Mus musculus: one gene and its partners. The protein of the gene in region 1 interacts with the protein of each later gene in a pairwise test. Links are inferred from orthologs where the notes say so. Each region holds a gene or a part of one and is shown on either strand. Other genes may lie near its edges.

Region 1 (4,013 bases):
TTCAGTCCGGTCTCTTCCAGGCTTAGTGGACATAGCATCACCATCCCTCCAGGGGGCAGGCTGGACCTGCTTCCATAACAGAGACTTCAGAGATTCAGATGTGGGCCCAGCACGGGGCAGAGTGGGAAGGCTTCTCATCTGTAACCCTTGACCTTGTGTGACCCTGTTTATCTGTCCACAGGTGAACCAGTGTGTCATTGGTACTGCTCAGGCTAATAAGAAGTGAAGTCGGATCCAGAGCCCTTGCAAGCCAGTGCGCATGCGTCTCTGTTTTAGTGTGTATTTATTCGGTGGGGGTGGGTGGGAGTTGAGACATGATATTACTGGGTATTTATTATGTAATAAAGAATAATCTTTTGTATGTTAATCCTTTTCTTAATCTTAGATTTTAAAAAATTGTGTGCAGTTGTTTTGCCTGAGTGTATATGCATGCACCATGTGCATGTCTCCTGCTCCAGTGAGTTCAGAACAGGGCTTCAGGTCCTTCAAGAACTGGGATTATGGAATACATGTGGGTCCTCTGCAAAATCAGTCAGTGCTCTTAACCGCCCAGCCATCTTCCCAGCCCGGCCCTTGTTACAGCTCTAAACGGTTTTATTAACTTAACGGTTTTAGCTGCCAAAGGAAGGTATTGTAAATAAATACTGTAAGCACGTAGAAATGTCCATTGTGATGTGTTTGCAGAGTGAGGCTATGGGCTTTCACTTGGTGGGGCACACTTTGCCGTCCTGATGCCTCTTCTCTACCCTTCGGCACTGGGCCCTCTTAACAATTTCTTAGGACTGCCAGGCCCCAGCCCCAGCCCAGAACAGGAATGCTCTTGTCTGGTGTGACTGCCAGTGCACTCCACAATCTCTTTCTTTCCCTGCCCACCGGTTCGAACCATGGTTCCGTGCCGCCTAGTGCCTATTGGCTGGTGTGGGCACGTCACTAACTCAGTACTAGTTCCAAATAGCCCCTTGTCCTTTCCCTCCCAGGAGGAGCAAACCTACACCAGTGCTCTCGCGGCCGGAGGAGTGGCCGTGTGCCCAGGTGCGGCGCACAGGCGGGGTTACGCGTGCGCAGAAGGGCGGGGCGACAGGCAGCGTGAATGGGGAGGGCGGTGCCGCGTGCGGAGGCGGAGCTTGGAGTGGCCACGGGGGCGGGGCAGCTAACGGATGTGGCATGGGGCGGGGCCCGGCCCTGACCTGCAGGCTAGCTGCCAAGAAGGTTATTTCCTGCTGACCCAGAGCAAGCCTCCCATCCGAAAAAGGGGCTGCAGGGATTTCCTCGACCTCCGCGACCGGCCGCGCCCCCAACAGCGCAGCGCCCTCCGGGCCCGCTGGAGGTGAGGGAGGTGCTGCCTGCCCGTCCCTCTGTCGTCTCCTCCCCCTGGTGCTCCCCACCCTCCACTCTCCTCCCTCCTTCTGTCGACTCCTCCTGCCGCTGCTGCTGCTTTGGCTGCTGCGTCATACGCCCCAGAGCCGCCAGGACGGAGGGGCTGGGCCCGGGGACCCCCTGGCCTCCGCCTGCACGCCCCCCGGCGCTCACACTCAGTCTTCCCGCACCGGAGACTCATCCAGGTCTCTTGAGTCTGACCCTACCTGGCTTCCAGCTGCCCCGGCTGTCACCGGTAAGGAGGAGGCGGGAGGCCTGGAGAGGGGGGCAGGGAGCTGGGGGTCGGTGAGGAAGAAGGGTTGGAGAGCCTCCTGGTCTCAGCTTAGGGTCTGTGCTGGGGCGACTCAAGTCCCTCCTTGGACTGACAGTGTAGGGGAGTAGAGACTTGGACAGGGACACGCCCCCCTCTTGGGGCACTCAGGGAAGTTATCTAATCCCGGGTCAGAGAGCCCCAAATTTGAGGGTGACCTAACATCACCTGGCACCAGGGTGGTGGTTCTAAATAAGACACACAGGCCTGGGGAGGCAGCTGTTTCTACTCGGGAAACGTCTTCAGAAAAGCTCCCAAAACATCTCTGGGCAACAGATTGCCCCATTTAGGATCCCTGTAAACAGCTGGGCAAGGTGAAGCTAAGCGGTAACCTTGATTCCGCAAAGATCATTTCACCTGAGTCCCTAGGAGCTGGGAAACTACAAAACGAGGCAGGGGAGATGGAAAAGAGTAGAGTCGAGAAGCTGACCAGAGCCACCCACCTTTATAGGGCTCAGGATTAGAAGACTGGGGCGTTGGAGCTGCTCCACCAGGAACAGGGTTTCTTTATCCATAAGAGAAAACAACGAGCTCAGGGAAACTTTCTCAGCACCCATAACTCTAACCATCCTATCTTGGAATAGGCCCCCCCAGGATGCAATGGCGCAGCTCCCCCGGCTGAGCCGTTTGGGTGCCCCCTCTCTCTGGGATCCAGCTTCCCCTGCTCCCACCTCAGGCCCCAGACCTCGGCTTTGGGAAGGCCAAGATGTGCTGGCCAGATGGACTGATGGGCTGCTGTACTTGGGTACCATCAAAAAGGTAAGACCCACCTCTGATCTCACTGCCTTCCCAGTCTCCAGTCAGTTCTCATTCCCATTTTAGCATCACTGGGCACCCATTCCAGGTGGACAGTGCTCGAGAGGTGTGTCTGGTCCAGTTTGAGGACGATTCCCAGTTTCTGGTTCTATGGAAGGATATCAGCCCAGGTGAGACCTTCAGACTGAAGCCTGTGACAGCAGAAGCTGGAGTGGGTGGGGACACTGGTTGTTGGTAGGCCTCCTGACACTTTGTTCCCTCACAGCTGCCCTCCCTGGGGAGGAGCTGCTCTGTTGTGTGTGTCGCTCTGAGACCGTGGTACCTGGGAACCGGCTGGTCAGCTGTGAGAAGTGTCGCCATGGTGAGAGGCCAGGATACTTAGGTGGTGCAGTCTGCCCTGGGTCTTCTGGGTTGCCACTAGCCCTGCCTTATAGCATGAGTTATGTCTCCTGTCCTGGCCAGTCTTCACCCTGTCACCACATCTCTCAGAACAGGGCGAGGGAGCCATAGATCAGGTGACCCAGGCCATGCAAAGCTGAGGGGCTTACATTACCTTTCTTAACCGTGCTTCCTTGGGCTAGGCCCTCAGCTGTGAGAAGCTTGTTGACTCACCTGCAGTGTCAGGATAACACACACAGCAGGACTTAGATGCACACAGTGGTCTACCCTCAACATTGTCCTTATTCAGCTTATCACCAGGACTGTCACGTTCCCAGGGCCCCGGCCCCTGGAGAAGGAGAGGGCGCATCCTGGGTATGCCGCCAGTGTGTCTTTGCAATCGCCACTAAGGTAAAGGTGCCTCTCTGCCCCTGTGTGGGAAGCTCCTGTGGTCTCTCCTCCGTTCCTGCCTCTCTGAGGTCTCCATCTGTCTGTCCCTCTGCAGAGGGGAGGCGCACTGAAGAAAGGTCCCTATGCCCGGGCCATGCTGGGCATGAAGCTCTCCCTGCCATACGGATTAAAAGGGCTGGACTGGGATGCTGGACATTTGAGCAACAGACAGCAGAGCTACTGCTACTGTGGAGGCCCTGGAGAGTGAGTGGAGAGGGTGTTGTCAAGCTATGGGATGGGGGTTGTTGTGGTGGCAGAGCCCGGGAAAATGGGTGAACAGGGGGCGAGGGGGCCCTGTGGTTTCAAGAAGGCTGTCTGAGGGCCACAAGCGCTGTCTCCCCTCCAGGTGGAACCTGAAAATGCTGCAGTGCCGGAGCTGCCTCCAGTGGTTCCATGAGGCCTGCACCCAGTGTCTGAGCAAGCCCCTCCTCTACGGAGACAGGTGAGACAGGACATGCACGCATGCTCGGGAGTCCACCTGTGCTCTCCCGCAGTCCTCTGCAGCCGGGGTCAGAGGGCTGAATGAGGTGCATCCTCTGTCCTGGCCCATGTGCAGATTCTATGAATTTGAGTGCTGTGTGTGCCGGGGCGGCCCTGAGAAGGTCCGGAGGTTACAGCTTCGCTGGTGAGATGGGTTGTGATTCATTTCTGTTGTCCACCATGTTACCCTAATGACCCCTGATTTTGATAGCGCCGATGCTGCTGACAATTCCATGCTCCTCCAGGGTGGATGTGGCCCATC
Region 2 (4,217 bases), on another chromosome or scaffold:
GGTTGAGACTTTTGCTCCCTGCATACGTAGGGTCTGCATCACTATCCAACACCAAAGTAGTTCTAGAAAACAGGTTTTTAGCCTTAAGAGTCTCAAGGGGGGAGGGGGGGCTGGCGAGATGGCTCAGTGGTTGAGAGCGCCCACTGCTCTTCCAAAGGTCCCGAGTTCAAATCCCAGCAACCACATGGTGGCTCATAACCATCCGTAACGAAATCTGATGCCCTCTTCTGGAGTATCTGAGAACAGCTACAGTGTACTTATTTATAATAAATAAATAATCTTAAAAATAATTTTAAAAAAGTCTCAAAGGGGAAATTACAACAGGAGAGAAAGACAATAAAACTTATAGGAAAATGGGAAGGAAAAAGGAGTGTGGCTAAAGAATCAATTAGTTGATGATTCAAGGTCCTTGCCACCAAGACTGTGAGAGTCTGAGTTCCATCCTAGAATCCACACAGTGGAAGGACAAAAATCAATTCCTGAACGCTGCCCCTTGACCTCCACAAATGCCATGGGGCGCAGGTGTGCACACACACACACACACACACACACATAAATGGAAGGGGAAAATTCCAACACAAGTAACTATATTTTATCTGAAGACTATCAACAAAGAAATAAAATTCCTTTATCTAGAGAAGAAAGCTAAAATGGCAATGATCCACGTTAGAACCCAAGCCCATGTCACCTTCAAACATAGTCGTCCCACTTTCTCAGGTATTTTCTGCCAATCGCCAAAACAAGGCTAAATTTTTGTTGACAGTTAAAAAACATTTTAATTTCTGAAACTTTTGGGACCTAAGAGGAATCCCATGCATGATCCAAGGCCTGTTATAAGGTTTCTTAAAAATTCTGTCAAGTACAACTTCAGGCGCCTTCAAAAACACTAAATATAGTTACTGTAAAGACAGCGATGATCCCTTTGAGAAGCCTGAACCCCACTCCCTGGTGTGCCTTTCTTTCCTGCGCACACCTCATTTTGCCTTAGACCCCATGGTTGTTGAAGACCTTTAAATAAACTCCAACTCTGCTTCACAGTAACTTATCCTGAATTCTTTCTCTGTGGCACAGTCAAAAATCCAGCTTTAGGCTGGGCTGTGGTGATTCACACCTTTGATCTCAGCGCTTGGGAGGCGGAGGCAGGCAGATCTCTGAGTTCCAGGCCAACCTGGGCTACATAGAGAAACCCTGTCTCAAAAAAATAAATAAATAATAAAAAAAATTCCAGCTTTCCCTAAGCTGTGATTCCTGAGAGGAAGAAAACTCCCAGCAGTGGGGGGCAGTGTTTCCCACCCATCTTCCCTAACAAAAGGATATTTCTGCCTGATGCATAGGTGCTTAGGAACATCAAAAAGTTATCGGTGCCATTTTTTACTATGTAGCCAAACATGGTCTTGAGCTCCTAATCCCCCTCTTGCTGAGTGCTGGGTGCTGGTATTTCAGTTGTGCACTAGTACTCTCGTCTTTCTTTTGTCTTTTTGTTGTTGTTGTTGGGGTTTTTTTTGTTGTTGTTGTTTTTTCAAGACAGGGTTTCTCTGTGTAGTCCTGGCTGTCCTGGAACTCACTCTGTAGACCAGGCTGGCCTCGAACTCAGAAATCCGCCTGCCTCTGCCTCCCGAGTGCTGGGATCAAAGGCGTGCGCCTCTTTGTCACTTTTTAGACATTCTCAGCTCAAGTTTCCAAAGACAGGAACCCTGGAAGAAAACCTTAAAACAAGTCTGTTGTAAGAGACAGCTGTCTGTGGACTTCTTGTCCAAGGTATCCCATCTCTTCCCAACAAGTCGTCAACCTTGAACCTCAGTTCCCAGCTGCCGGACTTCTTTAGATATCCCTCAACTGCCCCTTCTTCACGTGAATCCAGACATACCCAAGCATACAGTCAGTGTCCAAGTCTCCTACACCATCTGGATGCAAGGGCCCTACAGAGTTGACTCTAGAGTCTTTCCTGTCCTCCCATACCACTACTACTCAAACCAGAGGATGGGGGAGGTAGGGAGGTGTAAGGGGGGGGGTAATCTGCCCACCAAGCTGCAGGCTGTTCTCTTAAACTGTACAGCCGCCCTCCCACCTTTCAAGATCCTGCCTTTGTTATTAAGAAGGTAAGGTCTGGGAGGCATCTCACTCACCTCATACTATAAGCACCAGCACCCAGTTCCTGGCCAATGCCGGACAGGCTAGCATCAAAGTCCTGCACAAGCCCCGACTCGATCACTTCGTCGGCTAGCGGCAGCTTCAGAGCCCAGGCCATCCCGGCTCCTTCCTTGCCCCAACAGGCGCCGGCTCCTGTACAAAGGCGCGGAGCGTAACTCTACCCGGCAGACAGCACAGTGGAAGTCAGCTACAAACCCAGCTCCTCGCGCAGCGCCCCAAGCCTGACCTACGGGCTGCACCCTGGCTACTCCTCGGGAGCCCCGGTGACAGGAATCCCTCCCGTTCGGCTCTCGGGATCGTGAGGCACCAGGTCCCGCCGGAGCTCAGCCGGACTCGGGCTCTCTGAAGCCCACCGGTCGGTCGCTCGGCGTCCTCCGCTCAGCCTCAAAGCGGAGACGCGCAGGACACCGGGCGCTCCGAGCGTCCCCTCCGCCCCCCTAGGTGGAAAGCTCCTCCCTCCGGGCATCCGCACTTTCCCTCAGGCCTCGCTTCCGGTCAACCAGATAACTTCCGGTCACCGATTCTTCTCCCCGCCCCCCCACTCCGCTCTCAGCACAAACCCAGGGTTCCTCCGAGCCGTCCCCACACCCTCCTTAGCCACCACGACCGCCTGGAAGCGTGGACAGCGAAAGTTCGGCGCAGACTCGAAGCGCAAACCCGCCCCCAGCGCCAACCAATCAGGACGTCCGCTACGGCCATGGCGCAACGTCACCATCCATCTACCAATGAAGAAGAGACTGGTTCTGTCTTCGCAGCGGTGATAGGCTATCGACGCGAAGGCTTCCGCCCCCGGAGTAGTGGGCGGGCTCAGTGCTTAGGCGTGAACCCGGGTCGCAGGCTCTCGGTCCTGACAGTAGAGCAGAACTGCGGTTCTATCTTTCCGCTTCCCGCTCCCATTCCCGGAGGGACTTTCGTTCCCGTGTGTCCAGTCCTAAACTCTCCCCATTTGCCTTCCCTTATCTTCACCCTTCTCCCTAAGGCATTCGCGCAGGAAACAGGGAAAACTATTGGGGTTTTTGTTGATGTTCAGACGGGGTCTTTAGGTAACTTTAGCTGACCCAGAACTGAGAGATCCACACCCCCAGCCTGAGTGCTAGGATCAAAAGCGTGCACACTACACCTTGCTTGTTGTTTTGTTTCTGTTTGGTTGGTTCTTTGATGTTTTGTTTTTGTTTGTTTTAGGCAATGATGAATGAGTGTTGGGGAAAAATCTGCAGAGCAAAGTCAGAGCTGGCATCTTTATTTATAGTATGATAACTTAAGAGTATTCTCCAAGAGATTGAATTTACTAAACTGTAAATCAAGAACAACCATAGCCAGGCATAGTGGTTCATGCCTTTGATCCCAGCACTCCAGAGACAGAGGCAGGCAGATCTGATTTCCAGGTGAGCCAGGGCTAGATAATGAAGACCCTGGAGCAGGAGGTGAAATCATACCTCCTCCACCTTGCTCCTGAGGATTAATTACGGCCATTTTTAAAATTAAGCACGGGCAAAATACCTGTATGCTATGAACAGTATTGCAGAAGTCCTCAAGACAGGGTTGTAATCCCTTCCTAAAAGGGCATTGTGTGTTCCTAAAAACCTAGCACTCAGTAGGCTGAGGCAGAAGGATCTCCACAAGTTCAAGAACAGTCTAGACTACATAGCAATTTCCATAACAGCCAGGTCTACCTAGCATCTCTAGTCATTGTTTGCTCGTTTGTTGAGACAGGGTTCTTTTTGTCGCCTGGGCTGTCTTGGAACTCTGTATACCACTAGGGTCCTTAGGTCACCAGACTGGCCTTGAAGTCAAAAGATCTGCCTGCCTCTGCCTCCCATCTTAAAAAAAAAAAAATTCTAAAGGTAAATGTCACTTATTTTACCAAACAGAAAGGTAAGGCTAGAACTAAATTGTCATGATAAACATGCCTCTGCCGGCCAAAGACATCCCCTGTCTGTGGAAGTGTGCTTCGTTCTGTATGCCAACACAATATCCTTATAGTCTGCTTTGACTTAGATTTGTATATAACTACTTCTCCCACTGAGTTTCTACCTCAGGAGAGATAGGGAAATGACTTGGTATGG
Region 3 (4,251 bases), on another chromosome or scaffold:
GGAAGATCTGGGAACCCATGCAAGTTCAAGCCAGTCTACCCAAGGAGACCTTATTTTATGCGTATGGGCGTTTTCCCTGCATGCATATGTGCGCTATGTGTGCACCAGATGCCTAGAGAGGTCAGAAGAAGGCGCTGTATCTGGGGGGGTGGGGGTGGGAAGAAGAAGATAGAAATGAAGGAATGGAAAAAGAAAAAACCCCTGATCAACCTGGTGTAGACCAGCATTCCTGTCAGAACAGGATGAAACCTGAAGGCTGCAGCTGACTTAATTGAGGTCATAGAAGACCTGGAGAAAGAGTCAATAGTATAGGGGACGAGGGACAAAGAGGGAAACGTGATGGAGACAGAAGCATAGCAGATAGCTAAAGAGGGTGGTTTTGTTTTTTTGGTTTTTTTTTTTCTTCAGTTTTTCGAGACACGGTTTCTCTGTGTAGCCTTGGCTGTCCTGGAACTCACTACATAGATCAGTCAGTCTGGCCTTGAACTCAGAGACCCACCTGAAGAGGATTTCTTCAAGGATGACAACTCCCATAAGAATTTATGTACTTGGGACAATGATGGGGAAGAGGGGGTGTGATGATGGGGGGGCTGGGCAAGGGGAGGCTGTGCACCTCTCTACTGACTCAAACATTCAGGAGAGCTCAGCTTTTCCTTCTGCCCACCCTTGGCTAAGACCGAGGCTAAAGCAGGGGCTCTGAGAACACTCCGTGGCAGCCCCTTCCATCCCAACCGCATTGGAAGAACTGTGTACTCTGGACTGGGGTTAAATGGGAAACAATCCATTCCAATAGTGGTTCTGGGGGCTCTGGGTGGAAGTCCCATGGCTGTGGACTCTACTTACACCGTCAGACAACAAGTGGCGCTAAGCCCGCCCCCGTTGGCTCTTACTATGTATGTATTTACTTGTTTGTTATATCCTGCAAGCCTTTGGTTGGGTTTGGTGTTGAGGACTGAAACAAGGGCCTCCAGAGAGCTTAGCTACTGAGCTCCACCACTAAGCTACATCCCGAACACCAGGAAGCCTAACTTGAAACTACCCTATCTCGCTTCTCCAGTTCCTAGAGAATCTGAAATCTGATGATGCTGACAATATTGACCTCTAACAGTATCCCTAACAGAAAAGTGTTACCATGCCATTTTCCTCTACAAGAGAATACGGTGAGAGATCAATCAACTCTGGGGTTTCAAACGGATGCTTTCCTCCACTCCGCCAGTGGGAGGCGCAAGGGGCTTGGGCGAGAGCCTGAAGCGGGGCACAGGCTGGGCAGCGACCCGACTGGCGAGGGTAAGTGCCCGATCTCACCTTCCCTCTCCTGGAGACTCAGGGTTTTTTGACTGGGTGGGGCCTCCCACCGACCCCGGGATGTCCACTCGTTTGGCCTGGGGAGGGCGTGGCCTAGGGCTCCGCCCCCTTCCGCGGGCTCAAAAGGCGCGGCGTCCGCGGAGGCGGGGTCAGAGCGCAGCGGCGGATCCCATCGCTGCTCCCGGAGGCTGCCAGGCAGCGGCCCAGGCGGGCACTCAGGTACCGGCGTCCGCGAGGGGGTTCCTGGCCTGCACCCTACGGGGTCCTATGGCCCGCTGAGGCGCTGGGGAGGGCGTGGGTGGTCGTGAAGAGTGCCAGATTCCCTCGGCTGGCTTCGGCCGCAGCCTCCGCCCCCGCCTTCCTGCGGCGAAGTGGGGCTGATTGGCGCCTGCGCCACTGTGTGCGGTGGGGACGCGGCCAAGCGCGGGGCTGGGGCGGGAGACGAAGGGAAACAGAGTCATGTTGGCAAGGGAGCATCGTGCGTGGGTGGCACCACTTTCTCTGGCTTCCAGAAAGGATCCCCTCTCTGGCCGTGCGTAAGGGACACGGCCCCCGTCGCTCTCTACAGGACCAGTACCCCGTTTTTCTTTTCCCCTTTCAGAGACCAGGGGTCCCGCCCTGACCACCAGCAGCCTCGACCTGTCCCAAAATGGCTAGGACCCGCTCCAGCGTCCTCCTTCTCCACCCCTCCCCCTCATATCCCGAGCCCCTAACGTGCTCCCTCCTCGGGCTCTCTACAGTGTCAGCTTACACGCCTTATATAGTCCGAGCAGGCTCCGGCGGCGGCCTGCCTGCCGGGACCCGGGGAAGGAGGGGGAGCTGGCCCCTGACTCACCCCGCCACCCTCCTGAGATTCCAGGTTAGCTTGGGCAAAGCAGTGCCAATTAGCCCCACAGCCAACCCCTGGAAGAGAAAAGCACCTGAGCTCGGAGAGGCCTCTCCAGGCCCTCCCGGTGGCAGGGGGCAGGGTGGGGAACCACCTTGTCTGTTGTCTGTGAGAGGTCGGCCTGCCAGGAGCCCAGCCAAGCCAGCTGAGATACCTGCCTCCCAGTGCCTGTGTGTGTTGAGCGTCCGCCCGTGCCTTCTTGGTGCCTGGCCAACGCTAGTGCCCAGATCTGGACCTGCCTGCCAATTTGCATTGCAGACACTTTCTCTTCTTCCTCACAGGAGCAGGCACGATGGATTCCTTCAAGGTGGTGCTGGAAGGGCCAGCCCCTTGGGGCTTCCGTCTGCAAGGGGGCAAGGACTTCAATGTGCCCCTCTCTATCTCTCGGGTGAGCCTAGGTGGGGGAACAAACTCCCCAAGGGTTCTTGGGTGCTCAGGTTTCCAGAGGATCATGGGAGGAAACAGCAGGAGCAAGCCAGGACCAATAAGGCAGGAGTATCCAGGTCCAAATGGACACTTAACTACCAGGACTCCCAACTAGGTGGAGAGTAGAGAGGCACTCCCAACTTCCCTACTTTGACATGGTATTTGATGCTCTCCCACCAAGCCATCTGTGAGTGACAAGGGGGAGCCTGTTCCTTCGGTATTGGAGGCTGATGTCTCCAAGAAGTATCTTACTTAGCTAGGAGAGCAGCCTGTGGAGCCAGGTCCCCAGCAGGATGTAACTTTAATTCCAGTTATTCAAGGAATAGCAGTTGTCATCCTGTTTCCCCAAGTGACAGAGCTTGGTGGGCTGGAGGAGCCCATTCAGTAAGTCCACTGCAGAGCAAGGGTTTGAACTGAGGCACAAAAACGGCTTGTACTCTCTGTACGGTCAAGGCCAACGGGGAACTCTTCCCGCCCTGTGTGAGGACTGAGTCCCAGTCAGCTGGCTCTAGTCAGGCTGTGTGGCCTTTGACCCCAAGCCTAGGTGTAGTGAGGCTGGCCTGTAGAATTCCTGTTCCCATTCCTCAGTCCACCCTGGTGAGGAGGGTGGAGCTGGGAACTGACTCCTCCCTGAGGCAGGGGGATTACCTTATAAGCCCAAGAATGCGGGCCCCAGTTGGGATGGCCAGCAGTGGCTAGTCAACAGAGCCCAAGAGGGCTGGCCTAAGTCTAGGCCCCTTACCTGGCCCTCAGTCATTGGTGTCAGTAGGACTCAAAGCAAACTTTGTGCCCAGCCTTCCAGCTTGGTATCTCTGACTGGCCTAGGGGGTCAAAAAGGGGGCAGGGACTTCCTTCCCTGATATCCGCCTGCCTAGAGAGGCCCACCCAGCCACTGTGTAGGCAGGCAGCTGCTGGCAGGAAGCCCAGGGCAAGCCCAGCCCAAAGGGGCCTGAGAATTTCCAGGCACTGCCCAGCCTGAGTAGGGTATCAAGGCTGGTTCTCTCTGTGGGAGCCAGACATGGTGGACAGGGCAGGCAGGCATGCATGCTGTGTTCTTCCCAGAATCCTTCTCTGGAATTGCTTTGGAATCTGCTCCAACCAGCAGGATGACTAAGGGCTATCTAGACCCTTCCCCCACGCGTACATCCTACGGGTTTCTTCCTCCCCTCTGGGAAAGTGCTGGCCAGTGTAGTGTAGGTCTTAAGTTTTCTTCATTGGTAAGGAAGGCCCTGCAGATGTTGCCTTTTGGGGGCACTCTGCTGGCCCCTGCTGGCCCCTGGCCTCCTTTGTCAGCAGCTTTAACCTGTGGGTGGGGCCACCCGCTGAGTCCTGCCCTGGAGTGAGTTAGGCCCTGATGGGTGGGGTGGTCTTTTCTAAATTGGGCCAGCCCGCTATCCCTCCCCTGACCCCAGAGTGGAGGGAGGAAGGAGGGGCTAGGGCTGGCTGTGGGCCCAGGCCTGGAAGATGAGGTAATGTCTGGGATTTGGGGGTTGGGCTGCTCAGTGGAGCTCCCAGGCTGACTCACCCACACCCATAACACTGTCCAGTCCCCTGGCTTTTCCCCTCCTTAATCTCACTAGCCTCTCTTTCCCTGTGGTGCTCTGACCACCAGCTTAGCCCTCACATTTTGAGTA
Region 4 (3,510 bases), on another chromosome or scaffold:
GTCTAGATGGAACACTGGGATATGTGCCCCTTGGTGCCTAGCCAAAACAAAGCCTCAATAGTCCTCTGGGAGTGCATTAATTATAAATCATGATGTAGTGTTCTTGGACAATTATAGTAGATTAAATGTTGACCTCAGAGTACACATGTACTCCACAAATTCAACTTCATGCTACCTTACTGTCAGCAGCCACACCAATAGGAATACTGATAATAGACTTCAACATTAATAACAGCCAAGAGAAGCTAAGTCTGTTTTTTATTCTATAATAATGGTGGTGCACGCCTTTAATCCCAGCACTTGGGAGGCAGAGGCAGGCGGATTTCTGAGTTTGAGGCCAGCCTAGTCTACAGAGTGAGTTCCAGGACAGCCAGGGCAATATAGAGAAACCCTGTCTCGAAAAAACCAAAATAATAATAATAATAATAACAATAATAATGGCCTATCATGAGAGTATACTAAAAGTACATATTGCAGTTCTGTTATTTTTTCAATTAAAATAAAATACATTTATATCTTCCTCCCTCTCAAATTCTACAATTTAAATAACAGTCTTGCTAATTAAATCAGAGCACTTATATACTCATTTTAAGAATATTTTTAAGTTTAATAAAGAATATCAATCTTGACTCTTACCTTGTGTATTGAGGTAATAATGTTTCCACAATGGTCTTAATTTGTGTTTTCCACCCACATCCCAAATGGTGAATTTTAGATTTTTGTATTCCACAGTTTCCACATTAAAACCTGTTATTTTGTCAAAACATTATTTTATATTGTATTTAAGTTTAACAATGAATGACACACTAATCATAAGAAAATCTCTATTCATAGTTTTGAGTTAGCAGTTGTCTCCTTATAGCAATAACTACTGAACCCAAATAAACTCTACTGCTAGTCTCTGGGGATGTCTGCCTTTAATAGCTGCTACCTGTCTACAATTTCCCCAATCCTTTCAAACACCTGCCAGCTCTGTACTGCTGCCCTCCTCACTCCTAACACTGTCAGATTGTCTAAGCCCCCATTCCCTCTGACTGTCTCAGCAACATTCAGTCCTTTTTGCTATGTCACCATGCATCTTTCAGCCTCACAACCATGATCTCATCTCCCCCTCTGAAACAATAATGTCTTAGCGCCAGAAAAGAGTCACCTGAATAGCAATAACTTCATCAGAGAACCCAGCTAGCTATAAGTCAGTTGCCTATCAATATTCAAACTTACCAATTGTTGGAATAGGTTGCATAAATTCATCTTGTTTTAACTTGAACAAAATGGTAGTTTTTCCAGCACCATCTAATCCTAATGTGACTACTCGGATTTCCATTTTGGGTCCAATATGAACTCTATTGTCCTGTGGATTTGAAAAATTGGAAGTCAGAATATAACAATATTTATGCTTTTTCTTTTTGTTTTTAACCCATGTGTAAACCCAGGCTGATCTCAAACTTCCCATACAGCCCACACTTGCCTCAAACTCATGACGTTAGGTTACAGTCATAGGCCACTATGCTAGAATTTCATTTTTAGTTATAAAGTACCTTTATTATTTTCATGCCTCATATTCCTTCTTCAGCTCACTGTAATCAGTGAGCTCTAAATCGAACAGTCTCATCAAAATAAATTCTCCTCATGAACAAAAGTGTTCTTAAAAAATTATAACTGGGGGCTGGTGAGATGGCTCAACGGGTAAAAGCACCGACTGTTCTTCCGAAGGTCATGAGTTCAAATCCCAGCAACCATATGGTGGCTCACAACCACCTGTAACAAGATCTGATGCCCTCTTCTGGTGTGTCTGAAGACAGCCACAGTGTACTTACATATAATAAATAAATAAATCTTAAAAAAAAATAAAAATAAAAATAAAAAAATAAAAAAAAATAAAAAATTATAACTGTCTTATATAAATTGAAATACATATACCCACTTTTGTTTCTTTTTGTTTTTTGGTTTTTTTCGAGACAGGGTTTCTCTGTGTAGTCCTGGCTGTCCTGGAACTCACTCTGTAGACCAGGCTGGCATCGAACTCAGAAATCCGCCTGCCTCTGCCTCCCGAGTGCTGGAATTAAAGGCGTGCACCACCACTGCCCAGCCATATACCCACTTTTATTTGTTCAAATCCACAACTGAATCTTCTCTTAATAACATTTTTTATACTGTGCTAATAAATTACAATAGGGTGAACAGTTGTCTGTAAGAAATTGCTATGTCCCTCGAACACATGGGCACAGGAGAAAAGTTTCTGAACAGAACACCAATGGCTTATGCTGTAAGATCAACAATAGACAAATGGGACTTCATAAAATTGCTAAGCTTCTGTAAGGCAAAGGACACTGTCAACAGGACAAAATGGCAACCAGCAGATTGGGAAAAGATCTTTACCAAGCCTACATCGCTAATATCCAAAATATGCAAAGAACTCAAGAAGTTAGACTCCAGAGAACCAAATAACCCTATTAAAAAATGGGGTACAGGGGGCTGGCGAGATGGCTCAGTGGTTAAGAGCGCCGACTGCTCTTCCAAAGGTCCTGAGTTCAAATCCCAGCAACCACATGGTGGCTCATAACCAACCGTAACAAAATCTGATGCCCTCTCTGGAGTGTCTGAAGACAGCTACAGTGTACTTACATATAATAAATAAATCTTTTTTTTTTTAAATGGGGTACAAAGCTAAACAAAGAATTCTCAAAGAAACTGAGGAATACTGAATGGCTGAGAAGCACCTAAACAAATGTTCAACATCCTTAGTCATCAGGGAAATTTTAATCAAAACAACCCTGAGATTCCACTTCACACCAGTCAGAATTGCTAAGATCAAAAACTCAGGTGACAGCAGATGCTGGTGAGGATGTGGAGAAAGAAGAACATTCCTACACTGTTGGTGGGATTGCAAGCTTGTACAACCACCCTGGAAATCAGTCTGGAGTTTCCTTAGAAAACTGGACATAGTATTACCTGAGGATTCAGCTAAACCACTTCTGGGCATATACCCAATAGATTCTCCAACATATAACAAGGACACATGCTCCACTATGTTCATAGCAGCCTTATTTATAATAGCCAGAAGCTGAAAACAACACAGATGTCCCTCAACAGAGGAAAGGATGAAGAAAATGTACATTTAAACAATGGAGTACTACTCAGCTATTAAAAACAGTGAGTTCATGAAATTCTTATGCAAATGGATGGAACTAGAAAATACTTCCTGAGTCAGGTAATCCAATCACAAAAGAACACACATGGTGTATATTCACTGATAAGTGGATATTAGCCCAAAAGCTTCAAATACCCAAGAGATAATTCACAGACCACATGAAGCTCAAGAAGAAGGAAGACCAAAGTGTGGGTGCTTCAGTCCTTCTTAGAAAGGGGAACAAAATACTCATGGGAGCAAATATGTAGACAAAGTGTAGAGCAGACACTGAAGAAAAGGCCATCTAGAGACTGTGCACCTGGGGATCCATCCCATATGCAATCACCAAACCCAGACACTATTGCCAATGCTAAGAAATG
Region 5 (3,959 bases), on another chromosome or scaffold:
AGGAATGGGGTCAGGGTATAAGTAGATGCAGGGACCCTAGCCCCCAAGCCATACAACTTACGGTAGCCAGCGTTATTCACCACACAATCCAGGTGACCAAATCGAGAGAGGGTCTCAGAAACCAGAGTCTGAGGAGAGAAGAAAGAGCAGGTGATGAGCTGAGAGGTGACAGTAGTCTTGGAAAAGCCAGTAGGCCCAAGGCAAGGATGGGCTCAGCTGAGGAAGACAAGGTGGAGCGAGGGGGAGAGGGGAGGATGCAGGAAGCTGAGGACCCAGACTAAAAGAACTAAGGGACATAGTGCAGTTGCCGTTTGTCACAGCTAGTGTTTCTATCACTGTGATAAACACCATGGCCAAAAGTGACCTGGAGAGGAGAGGATTTATGTCTGCCTACAGCTCCCAGGTCACACTCTGTCACTGAGGGAAGCCAGTGACAGAGGGCTCAAGACAGAAACTCAAGGCAAGGACTGAAGCAGAGGCTCACTGGCTTGCTCCCTTGGCTCGTTCAGCCCCTTTCCTTATACTCTCCAGGCCTCCAGGACCACCTGCCCAGCGATGTCACAACCCCCCAGGGAGCTAGGGAAACTCCCACACCAACCACTAATTAAGAAAATGAGCGCCTTTAATCTCAGCACTTGGGAGGCAGAGGCAGGCAGATTTCTGAGTTTGAGGCCAGCCTGGTCTACAAAGTGAGTTCCAGGACAGCCAGGGCTATACAGAGAAACCCTGTCTCGAAAAAAAAGAAAAAAAAAGAAAAAGAAATTGAGCAGGGCAGTGGTGGCACATGCCTTTAATCCCAGCACTTGGGAGGCAGAGGCAGGCGGATTTCTGAGTTCAAGGCCAGCCTGATCTACAGAATGAGTTCCAGGACAGCCAGGGCTACACAGAGAAACCCTATCTTGGGAAAAAAGAAAAAAGAAAATGAACAGCAGGTTTGCCCACATGCCAATTTGGTGGGGCCATTTTCTAGTGAGATTTCCTCTTCCCAAATGACTGTAGCTTGGGTAGAGTTGATATAACACTTATCAGCACACCACCTTAGAAAACTTTGGAGAGGGGTGTGTGTATAAGGCAGAGCCTCAGAAGGAGGGTCTACAGACCCTGAGGGTGGTGGGGAGCTGAGATACACAGACAGAGAGACAGAGGCCCAGACTGGGGCTAAACCTGGAGGCACATAACAGATTCTGAGTGCAGGGAAGTCAGAAATTTGATACAGGAAGCAAGTGTTTTGTTCATTCCTAAAGATGGGAGGGAGAGCAGGGCAGAGGGACTGAGCTGTCCTGGGCATGGGTAGCTGGAAAGAGGGACTGGAGACCAGGTGTGGGACAGAAAACACTCACCTGCAAATCTCTTTCCTGTGTCACGTCACCGGGGATAAAAACAGTGCCCGAGAGTTCCTGCTCCAGAGCCCGGCCCCCAGCCTCTGCAGGAGAAAGATTTTGGGTCTGAGGAAGGAGAGCTGAGGCTTGGACACCAGAGTCTGAGGGTAGAGGGCTAGGGAAGAGCCCTGGATGGGAGGGAAGAAAGCCAGGACTTGAATTCCTGGGTCCGAGGAAGCAGAGCTGGGTTCAAGGGAGGAGAGCTAGGCGCGGATCCCTTTCGATGGAGGAGGCAAGGGAGAATCGAACACTGAATCACTCACCATCCTTGTCACAGAAAACCACTTGAGCCCCACTGTCCACTGCCAAAAGAAGAGAACAAGGTTACAAGCCCTGCAGACTTTCCTCACCATCTCTGGTGCCCTCTGCTGGCCACCACCCAGAGCACCTGCCACTCCAGCGGCTCTTGTGACTGGCTTCAGTCCTCTTACAAGAGCAGAATCTTGCAACAAATAACCTTTTTCATTAAGCTGCTGTTGGCCCCCATCCTGGATTCTAGAAAAATCCCAAACCGATAGGCAATAATACTCTCAAAGCTATCATTTGCAGCTAGGAACCGATCCAGGGAAGATTTTTTTTTTTATTTTTATATTTTTGAGACAGAGTTGCTCTGTATGGTCCTGGCTGTTCTGAGCTCACTCTGTAGATCAGGCTGGCCTAAAATTCAAGAGATTCGCCTGCCTCTGCCTCCCAAGTGCTGGGATTAAAGGTATATGCCACCACTGCCAGGCCAGTGGAAGAACTTTTTTTTTTTTTTAAGATTTATTTATTTATTATATGTAAGTACACTGTAGCTGTCTTCAGACACTCCAGAAATGCCAGATCTCATTACAGATGGTTGTGAGCCATCATGTGGTTGCCGGGAATTGAACTCAGGACCTTCAGAAGAGCAGTCAGTGCTCTTAACCGCTGAGCCATCTCTCCAGCCCAAGGAAGAGTTTTTAATGACCAACCTATCAGCAAAGACCCAACAATCCAAATGGACTGAGGGACTGGAGAGATGGCTCAGCAGTTAAGAGCACTGGCTGCTATTCCAAAGGACCCAGGTTCATTTCCCAGTGCCCATATGGCAGCTCACAACTGTTTGTAACTCCAGTTCCAAGGGATCTAATACTCTCAGCCAGATTCAACAACAATGCAGAGGAAAATAAAAATAAACAAATCATTTAAGAACAAATAAATCATTACAGAAATGAACCTGAGTCTCCTCCTCCCACTCTGGGAACCTCTGTCAGTCATCCTTTCTCTCCTACAACAATTCAGACAGCAGGCGGGAAGACCCTTACTCACCGAAGGCTCTCACGATCGCAGCCCCGATGCCCCGGCTGCCTCCAGTCACCACCACCACCTTCCCAGAATATCGGGTTACTGCAGCCATCCCCAGCTGTATCCCACGCCCTCTGGACCTCTTCCCACCTCCACAGTCCAGAGAAGCAGTGGGGTGGAACCAGATATACAGGCTGGGTCACTGAAGGCTGACCTTGGGAGGGGGTGTTTCTAGGAAGGCACACCTGGGAGAACTGAGGACTCTCCTTCCTAGCCCTTCTTTTTCAGTCCCAGGGTACCCAAACTGACAGTCCTCCTTCAGACTCAGGGACCCTCACCCCAGCTCTGCCTCCTCAGACTGACTTCAGCCTTGCTCCCTTTGACTTGTTTTTTTTGTTTTGTTTTGGTTTGGTTTGGTTTGGTTTTTCGAGACAGGGTTTCTCTGTATAGCCCTGGCTGTCTTGGAACTCACTTTGTAGACCAGGCTGGCCTGGAACTCAGAAATCCGCCTGCCTTTGCCTCCCAAGGGCTGGGATTAAAGGCGTGCGCCACTACACCCGGCTTTTTTTCTTTTTTTTTTTTTTTTCCTTTGACTTGTAAGACCAGGGCTACTTCTTCTGGCTTGATTCAGGCTCCAGCCTCCTCCCTCAGACCCATATTGTTTGTTTGTTTGTTTGTTTTTCGAGACAGGGTTTCTCTGTATAGCCCTGGCTGTCCTGGAACTCACTCTGTAGATCAGGCTAGCCTCAAACTCAGAAATCCACCTGTCTCTGCCTCCCAAGTGCTGGGATAAAAGGCGTGTGCCACCACTGCAGATTGGGCCCTTACCCTTGTTTGTCAGAACACAATGTCACAACCACAGAGAGAATAAAAGCTATTTATTGACTAATAGTTCAAAGTTTTCATCCAATTTTGGACAGTGTTGGGAAAATCAATCTTTGACCATAGCGGCCCTGGCCCTCCTAGAATACATGCTGGAATGAACCTCTCCCCTGTGGTCCTGAATGGTCCCACACCTCAAAGTTGTGCTTCCAGCTTGTAGGGCTCAGTATAAAGATGGGAGTCAAAAGCTGGACTGCAGCAGAGTGACTCTGAAGGGCCATGCCCCCTCTTCCTGGGTCAGAGCTGGAGGGGCCTTCCCAGGGTCCCACCTGGCCTCCCATGGGGCCAGGCCTCTCCGGCTGCCTTGGCATGAGAACCCTGTGGTAGCAGAAGTAGCCTTGTGAGGAGCTGGGGACGAGGTGACCTGGGGCAGTTCTTCACTGGGAGGCTGTGGGCTTGGCTGGAGACAGTCTCCCCTGGTATCCAAATTTC

The links.
Region 2: the proteins of Phf1 (region 1) and Tfcp2 interact in binary tests that used the Homo sapiens proteins (3 or more experiments, as listed by UniProt). The two-hybrid records come from large-scale screens. The link is inferred for Mus musculus from reciprocal best matches to the Homo sapiens genes PHF1 and TFCP2.
Region 3: the proteins of Phf1 (region 1) and Pdlim7 interact in binary tests that used the Homo sapiens proteins (3 or more experiments, as listed by UniProt). The two-hybrid records come from large-scale screens. The link is inferred for Mus musculus from reciprocal best matches to the Homo sapiens genes PHF1 and PDLIM7.
Region 4: the proteins of Phf1 (region 1) and Trim23 interact in binary tests that used the Homo sapiens proteins (3 or more experiments, as listed by UniProt). The two-hybrid records come from large-scale screens. The link is inferred for Mus musculus from reciprocal best matches to the Homo sapiens genes PHF1 and TRIM23.
Region 5: the proteins of Phf1 (region 1) and Hsd17b14 interact in binary tests that used the Homo sapiens proteins (3 or more experiments, as listed by UniProt). The two-hybrid records come from large-scale screens. The link is inferred for Mus musculus from reciprocal best matches to the Homo sapiens genes PHF1 and HSD17B14.

Annotation. Positions count from the first base shown.
Region 1 is NC_000083.6:26,931,923-26,935,935, forward strand, and holds the start of Phf1 (PHD finger protein 1), read left to right. Parts: upstream 1-1,204; 5' UTR 1,205-1,612; intron 1,613-2,271; 5' UTR 2,272-2,287; coding exon 2,288-2,446; intron 2,447-2,531; coding exon 2,532-2,613; intron 2,614-2,708; coding exon 2,709-2,804; intron 2,805-3,131; coding exon 3,132-3,232; intron 3,233-3,326; coding exon 3,327-3,475; intron 3,476-3,549; exon of another isoform or gene 3,550-3,617; coding exon 3,618-3,713; intron 3,714-3,827; coding exon 3,828-3,896; intron 3,897-3,996; coding exon 3,997-4,013. Other genes in the region: Kifc5b (kinesin family member C5B), read left to right, coding at 182-226. UniProt on the Homo sapiens protein: Polycomb group (PcG) that specifically binds histone H3 trimethylated at 'Lys-36' (H3K36me3) and recruits the PRC2 complex. Involved in DNA damage response and is recruited at double-strand breaks (DSBs).
Region 2 is NC_000081.6:100,549,199-100,553,415, forward strand, and holds the start of Tfcp2 (alpha-globin transcription factor CP2), read right to left. Parts: upstream 2,811-4,217; 5' UTR 2,712-2,810; intron 2,685-2,711; exon of another isoform or gene 2,284-2,684; 5' UTR 2,249-2,283; coding exon 2,127-2,248; intron 1-2,126.
Region 3 is NC_000079.6:55,510,640-55,514,890, reverse strand, and holds the start of Pdlim7 (PDZ and LIM domain protein 7), read left to right. Parts: upstream 1-1,444; 5' UTR 1,445-1,524; intron 1,525-2,472; 5' UTR 2,473-2,483; coding exon 2,484-2,579; intron 2,580-4,251. UniProt on the Homo sapiens protein: May function as a scaffold on which the coordinated assembly of proteins can occur. May play a role as an adapter that, via its PDZ domain, localizes LIM-binding proteins to actin filaments of both skeletal muscle and nonmuscle tissues.
Region 4 is NC_000079.6:104,195,831-104,199,340, reverse strand, and holds part of Trim23 (E3 ubiquitin-protein ligase TRIM23), read right to left. Parts: intron 1,352-3,510; coding exon 1,222-1,351; intron 748-1,221; coding exon 637-747; intron 1-636.
Region 5 is NC_000073.6:45,553,777-45,557,735, reverse strand, and holds the start of Hsd17b14 (17-beta-hydroxysteroid dehydrogenase 14), read right to left. Parts: upstream 2,809-3,959; 5' UTR 2,758-2,808; coding exon 2,670-2,757; intron 1,682-2,669; coding exon 1,643-1,681; intron 1,424-1,642; coding exon 1,341-1,423; intron 129-1,340; coding exon 62-128; intron 1-61. Other genes in the region: Plekha4 (pleckstrin homology domain-containing family A member 4), read right to left, coding at 3,709-3,959. UniProt on the Homo sapiens protein: Catalyzes the NAD(+)-dependent oxidation of L-fucose, yielding L-fucono-1,5-lactone, which rapidly converts spontaneously to L-fucone-1,4-lactone. Can also act on D-arabinose and L-galactose, with lower catalytic efficiency. Does not use NADPH.